Linked DNA regions of Bombyx mori. The protein of the gene in region 2 purifies or fractionates together with the protein of the main gene of each other region. This does not show direct contact. Links are inferred from orthologs where the notes say so. Each region holds a gene or a part of one and is shown on either strand. Other genes may lie near its edges.

Region 1 (3,844 bases), on a different chromosome or scaffold from region 2:
GAATAAATAACACCTTTCCTCAAAGAATTTAAGAATCACTACGAAAAACCGTGGTACTATTTGCCAAATTCAAATGATTATTAATGAAATGTTTTTTATGATTAAATTGATTTTTTTTTGTAGTCGTTGGCTCTTTGGAAGATCTGTGTCATAGTGCCTTCAACGCACGACATTGTATCATATTTACCTAAGCAAAGTTTCAGTAGTAATTTATAAAATCGGTTAGTGAGATTTACGTTTACGTCATATAAAATCTAATAAAAGGTAGTCTAGAGTCTAAAGTAGTTTAGAAGTGAGGTCGTGACGCGTGCGTGTGCGTTACAGACGGCAGCCTGCTGTACGAGCGCGTGCTGTCCCGCGGCGAGCTGGAGGCGCGCCGGGCCGAGCCCGCGCCGCCGCTCAAGCGCCGCGCCTACGACGACATCAACGGACTCGACAGTCAGTACCGCCCCGCACTCGATCACTTACCACCCGCATAAAACACGTTGACTGCCGTGTAGGTCATCGGTGCCCTACGCGGCGCATTGAAGTAATTTTTTTTTACAAGCGGCTCGCTCCGGCTCCGCTCTGATCTTTAACAAAAATTTCAACGATATTTGACGTTGTTTTATTCTTAAAAATAAAATAACACTTATTGCGGCATAACTAGTAACTAATAGTTAGACATATGCAGTCGCGACACTTTTTTGTAAATAATAATGTTTTCTACAAAGTCGTAGTACATCAATAGTTTTCGCAGGGCACGCGATGGAACATTTTAGGTAATATTTTTACACCTTGGGTAACATTATTGGAGTTTTAGTAAGGATCCATTTTTTTTCTTTCAAAAAATACTATAGCCTATGTCACTCGGGAATAGTTTAGCTTCCAAACAGTGAAAAAATTTTTCAAATCGATTCAGTAGTTTCGAAGCCTACTCAATACAAACAAACAAATCTTTCCTCTTTATAATATTAGTATAGATTGCCCTTGTAGGCAGACAACCATACGGCCCATCTGATGGTGAGTGGTTACCGTCGCCCATGGAATTCAGCATTGCCAGGGGTGCCTACCGTTAAGTACTCTCTCCACAAGCCTCGTTTGAAGAAGGATATGTCATAGCGCTCGGGAGACACCGTGGAGGGAAGCTCATGGTTTATCGATTATATCGATTTCTCTCTTCGATCACCTTACTAATACACGGAATATATAGTATACTGAAAAAAAAACCGGTAGATACTCAGAATGAATTCTCTATTTCTAAGAGACTTAAAAGACTAAAACATACATTAACAAACAAAAGAACTTAGTAGAACTTAGTAACAGAATTCGATATAATTACTTCAGTGCGCCGCGTAGGGCACCAATGACCTACATGGCAGTCAACGTGTTAACTTATATTCAAACGACCAACGAATTATATCATATAAAAAAAGATTTAATATTTTCGCAAGTTAATTAAGCTTTTAATTAAATAGATAATATTGTATTTAGAACAATGAGTAATAAATGTATAATTTGTTAAATGCTTACCTTTACGGAAACAGCAACAACACCAGGTTAGTAAATGAGAATTATAAAAATAAATAAATGTGGGGAAAAAGTAAATGTTATGAATTTCATAAGTTTATGGAAAATGTAGTGTGAGGTCTTTGGTGTTGTGAGGGTTTGTGTGCGTTGGTCGAGTTGTCCTCCGGAAATCTCGTCACAGTGGTCAATAAAACACTGAGTATGTTTATGTTATTCGCATCAGCGACCGCGTCGGATCGCTGCCCGTTAACCACTGACGTGTATAGCTTATTACTATTACTTTTACTGCATTGTAGGCTTAAGCGGGGCGGAGTATCACTCCCCAACACTAGGAAACAAAACTATCAAAACGTTATGTGACTGCATAGCTAAGGAATCACAATACCCTTGAGCTTTAATTGTTTCGGAAACCATAGGAAAAGTCCTTTCAAAAACCTTCCATTTCGTAAAGTCAAAATCTCAAAAGATCATTCTGGCCCAGAATGTCACATAGGAGATTTCAAATTTGCAACAACGATGTGTGATTTGTTAAATTTATATTTTTTATTTTTTTATTGTCCCTGTAGGCAGCCGAGCATACGGCCCACCTGAATGGTTACCGTCACCCATGGACTTCACCTACCGTTGAATGTTCGTACTGTACCTTCGACAGTTGAATGTTTTCCATTGTTCTTGTTACAATTGTACATATATGTATGATGCGGTTGTCGCAGGAGTGGGCGAGCGGTCGCGCGAGACGCTGGCGCCGCCCGCCAAGCGCCCCAACAAGCACCCGGCGCCCATGCAGCGGCCCTCGCGCGAGCAGTACGCCGCCATGTGCGCGCGCGCGCAGGCCACCGGACAGCCGCTGCCGCCGCACGTCTTCGCGCACGTACGTACCGCTCACTCTCCTCACTCCTACTCATGCGAACCACTGCTCTTGCTAGCCCTAGTATATATTTTATAAGGAATTTTATGACCTGGTAACTAAGACCTTTAAGTCATGTCTTATTTTAATTTATATTCTTAATTTTATTAAAAATGATAATATGGAGTGAAATGAAATGAAATGAAAATGATTAATTTGGGAGATTAATGAACTGGGATGAAATTAAATAAAACGAAATGACAGGGGATGAAATATAATCTCAGTAAAATAGTGGTATTTTACTGAGATTTTTCAGTGGACTTTTTGGAGGATCCCGAGAAGTTACGTCCAGCAGCTTTGTTTCATTTTCCCACATTTGTGCACAGATATCAAACAGTTAATAAACCACCGTTATTACACATTTAAACCTGAAGAAACACTAAATAGACAAAATAAAACAAATCACACAACTTCACTCCTCGCGTTCCCGCCAAAAAGTTCGCTAAGGCTAGTGTTAGCAAGGCCCCTCAGATTGAGCGCCTTGAGCTCACCTGGAGCGTAGCTGGAATAGGCTCTTAAGCTACCAGCGAATAGGTACGAGAAAAATGCACTAATCGACTGAACTTTTTGTACCAGATAGTAACGATTCATCCCAATATACAATTTGTTTTATTATTCGCGAGTTACTAATTTAGCATGCCTAAATTAACGATTTCAATTAATAATTTAGAATATAGAAAAACATATTAGATTTGAATTATGTTGACCTTGTTTTCTAGAAGATTGTCCTGTAACTTATAACAACCGCTTTTAATATTAATAAAAAAAAATTTAATAATAAATAAAAAGATAGATTTGAGTTAATAATAAATGTACGTGTTAGGTAAATGGCAAACCGACAAACATCACAGGACGCGGCGGCCGCCGACACGTGATCTCGTGGATGGACGCTCCCGACGACCTATACTTCAGAGCCACCGATGCGGCCAAGTGAGTGCTTTCTAATGTTTAACCGTTGTACGTGCTCACCGAGCCTATAGGTACCGTGAGAATCGACATTATGTCATATACGACTCTAACAAAAACGAACGTAAAATGCTGCCAAGTAAAGGTATTAGAGGTAAAATAATGGTAATTGAAAGAAATAGAAGCTCTTTTAAGTTTCAGACCTAAAAATCCATCCTCATTTATTTAGTCAAAGTTTCGACTCAATGTTACATGGCAATGTTACATTTTACTAAGAATGTACCTAAGACGTGAGACGCGAGTGGCGCCGCTGAGTTTGTCGCAGGACCTTCTCAGCGGTAGTAGATTCATTCGCGAAGCAATTGCTATTGAGTTGTAAGGTCTCCTTCGGAGGCGCTCGGGTGGCTGTTAGCTAATCCCACCCCTCCTGTACTGGTTTTTTTTATTTATTGCTTAGATGGGTGGACGAGTTCACAGCCCACCTGGTGTTAAGTGGTTACTGGAGCCCATAGACATGTACAA
Region 2 (3,844 bases):
CCACATAATAGCAGTTGGTCTGTGAGATCGTCCACCCATACATGCAATAAAAAAAAAATACCTTGCACTTAGTGCCATCGGAGAGAGTAACCGATATGTTGGGTAGATCTCTCCAGTCGGAGCCCGGTGTTGTAGGTATCCTGCTGATCCTAGCTTGAATCAATGGCGCCATGTTTTTACAGATGTGATCTCGTAGTTTAGAATTCTCATCGTTGCTTCGCACTAATCTCTGGAAATGACTTTCTGGCATGGAGCCATATTCGATTTCTATTTTATTAGCACCATTACATATTTGAGGCAAATCACTCATGGCGTCTTGAATGGTGCACGTTCTTTTTGGAGCCGACTCGTCCCAGTGAATATTAGTCGAGAACCTTTTGCCGTCAATCGTCGTTGTTAATGTACAAGCACGTCTACTGAAGACGTGCGTGGGTTCTGGGTAGAACGGAAGATTGTAACCCGGCGCTGCCGCCAATATGATCAACCTTCGTCTAGTTTGGGGAACTCCGTAGTTACCCGCTTGTAAGATACCAAAGGTACACTGGTATCCCATGTCCAACAAAGCTCGCAGAGTGAGTTTCAAAACCATACCTTTTTTAAAGGCCACAAAGTTACGAACGTTTTCCAGTATAAAATATTTAGGTCTGTAATAATCACAAAACGATAAATACGATGCAACTAATGAGTTTTTGAAGTTTGAATACTCTCTTGAATTAAAACGATTCATTCCGGAGAAGCCTTGACATGGTGGCCCGCCACATAAAAGCTCCACTTCTCCTTGCATGGGGAGCCGCAGTCCATTCGCGCTGTGCTTAGCACCAGACATTACAGTTTTCAAAAGTGCATTACAGTCTTCATTAAATACAATACAACTTTTATTATTTAATGAATAAGCATGAGAAGCAGCTTCCACGTTTTCAATAGCCCACTTGCATTCTGCAACTCCAGCTTGATGCAAGCCTTCTGATAGGCCCCCACAACCGGCAAACACGTCTAAAGTTCGCAACGGTCTAATTTTCTCCTCTACAACTTTAGCGGGAACCGTTTCAATAGTTTTTGTAGATTTTCCCTTCCCCTTCCCTTTATCTTTAGTACGATCTGTTCTTCCAACACTGATGGCATTCTGCGGGAGATCCGTGAACTCTCCCGTGGACTTACAATACGCCATTCTGAAGTAGAATCTGCACGGATCATTTCCTAACCATTCTTGAAGTGAAATATTTTGGGGAACATTTTGTTCATAAATTAAATGACAATGCCCAACGACGGTCGAAAATGGAATCTCCCTTATTTCAGTTGTCCAATATAAAACATTAGTGTCCTCGTGCTGCGGAAATTTACTGCTCGTGTTTTCAGGTCTAAGCAGCACATTCACTTTCAGGTAAATATCTTGCGGTACAACTAGAGGTCCCTCACTCGCGGCAGTGACGGCAGCTATGTAACCCACACAAAAAGGTTCCCCGGTATCAATATTAGACCCACGCGTATTAGAATCGTTCTTCCTATAATATTCAGGATAAATAGTTTCATCGACTTTTTCAAACCGCGGTTTGGCAACAGTGTTCGCTTTTGTCATACTATTTTTTAGTTTAAAGGTTCCCGGTTTTAGGAAAACACCACAACCCTTCTTATAGTCAAAGTCTTGCCATTTTACATATGACCATTCCGACCTGTTTTGTTCTGAAACAATTTCGGATTTCACAATCAATTTTTCAAAAACTTTAGGAATGTTTCTTGCATCTCGTTTTGTTTTACGTTCACAAGATGGGCAGAATCTGTGCTTTCTTAAAGCATTTGGACACGCTGGATCTGGAGGTAAATCTTCAAAACGCGACGTGAACCTGTCGTAATACTTGCTATAAAAATAAGTTCTTCCATCATCCTCGAAATGTTCGTCGTCTACTTCTTTCCCGCCAAGTTTAAACCAATCTGCTGACGTCTCTTTCCTTTCTATATTCGCTTTTCTTAATATGGAAGAAAGCGGAGCACCATGGCAACATCTGTCGCCCAAAAATACTTCTCTTGGGTCACTCACTTCTCCTAAAACTGTGTCCGAGGCTCGTATGAAGACTTCTCCGTGAAAATAGCCTGATTTCGGGTTATGGATTTCTTTCCACATGTATACAACTTTAGCGACCAGTGTAGGAATGTTTGTTTGGGAAGTTTCAATCATGACAAAGTCACCATTACACAGCTCAGCACCATCAATTTCAACTTTTTCGTAATATATTTTTGTGGCATCAGCTTTAACAGGCTCACCAATCCATTTTAAATTTTTACTATTTGACCCAGTGAGCTTGACTGGTACTGCATCATCTATTTTGTCTTGTTTTTTCTCAGATATTTGCTGATACTCATCTTCATCATCGGGATCAGAATCTTCTGCCTGTTCTACTGCCATATTAGGACATAATCTACGGACGCATGCTTTCTTAGTTCTTCCATGACCACCGAATTTAGCCATGGCACGACATGCATTACATTCGCCGCAATCAGGCAATTGACAGGCTTCACAAACCCCGCATCGTTTTCTTCGTAAGACCAGTTCGTGATTGGTTTTGTCTAACTGATTTGAGAAAAAACTTTCAAATGTTTTTCTTACAAGTGGAGTTGTTGTAGCTTTTGTCCATGCTTTCTTATCTGTTTTTTTGTATTGTATCTGGGTACGTATTTTTCGTTTACCGAATTTTATGCCCATTAATTTGATAAGTTCTCTCATACAAGGTAATGTTATTAATGGTTCATCATCTTCCTCTATTTCTAAGCTAACTACTTGATCACAAACAAACTGGGCATGTTTATGTAGCATTTCTTCTGTCATCTTTTTATTATTTAGTTCAGGAATGGAAAAATCTCTTACAACTTCAAGTAAATCTTCATAGCTCGGTTGCAAGTAGTGATATTCTTCTAAGAATTCGACGACTACTTTGCTAAGCCATATTTTTTCATATAAATTATTCATTAGGGGCGTATAAGCTTCACTAGGTTTGAGCAAGTTATATTCCCCAAATTCCGTTGATAAAGTTATACAGTTCCTATCTCCACCATCGAAACCATGTATGAACCTGATGGTATGTAAATTAGAAGATTAATAATTCACAAAAAATAACAAACAAACAAAAAGATTTTTTTTATGTGGTCATGATAAGTGAGATACATACCATTCTATTATAGGACCTACATCTTTAACTGGAATGGATTCTTCGTCAATCTCTGATGAATCAGAGCAAATTGACTTTAAATATCCAGACATATAAATTCGAACATCGTTTTCTACCAAACCACCATCAATTGGACACAAATGTCCTTGCTCATCAAATATTGTAAAGCCAGTTATATTTGTTTGGGGTCGTTCCATTATGTCTCCATCTTCCCCTTGAATAAGTACATTACAATATAATTAAATTACAATATAATATAACAAATGTTCACGATTGACTTCCACGGTGAAGGAATAACATCGTGTAATGAAAATGAAACCCGCAAAATTATAATTTGCGTAATTACTGGTGGTAGGACCTCTTGTGAGTCCGCGCGGGTGGGTACCACCCCCTGCCCATTTCTGCCGTGAAGCAGTAATGCGTTTCGGTTTGAAGGGTGGGGCAGCCGTCGTAACTATACTTGAGACCTTAGAACTTATATCTCAAGGTGGGTGGCGCATTTACGTTGTGGATGTCTATGGGCTCCAGTAACCACTTAACACCAGGTGGGCTGTGAGCTCGACCACGCATCTAAGCAATAAAAAAATTAAAATTTAGACAGCTACTGCATATCTAGATTTTTCTCCCTAGTAGCTCCTCTACAGAGATAACTGTCATTTGTTCTGTAACTCTGCAGTGGAGCC

The links.
Region 1: the proteins of Dnmt1 (region 2) and metastasis-associated protein MTA3 purify together in Homo sapiens (affinity purification with western blotting; 4 studies listed by BioGRID and IntAct, with this or other methods). This does not show direct contact. The link is inferred for Bombyx mori from reciprocal best matches to the Homo sapiens genes DNMT1 and MTA1.

The regions. Positions count from the first base shown.
Region 1 is NC_085131.1:3,871,299-3,875,142, forward strand, and holds part of metastasis-associated protein MTA3, read left to right. Parts: intron 1-324; coding exon 325-438; intron 439-2,222; coding exon 2,223-2,380; intron 2,381-3,239; coding exon 3,240-3,346; intron 3,347-3,844. UniProt on the Homo sapiens protein: Transcriptional coregulator which can act as both a transcriptional corepressor and coactivator. Acts as a component of the histone deacetylase NuRD complex which participates in the remodeling of chromatin.
Region 2 is NC_085114.1:6,735,024-6,738,867, forward strand, and holds part of Dnmt1 (DNA cytosine-5 methyltransferase), read right to left. Parts: intron 3,376-3,844; coding exon 3,162-3,375; intron 3,066-3,161; coding exon 62-3,065; intron 1-61. UniProt on the Homo sapiens protein: Methylates CpG residues. Preferentially methylates hemimethylated DNA. Associates with DNA replication sites in S phase maintaining the methylation pattern in the newly synthesized strand, that is essential for epigenetic inheritance.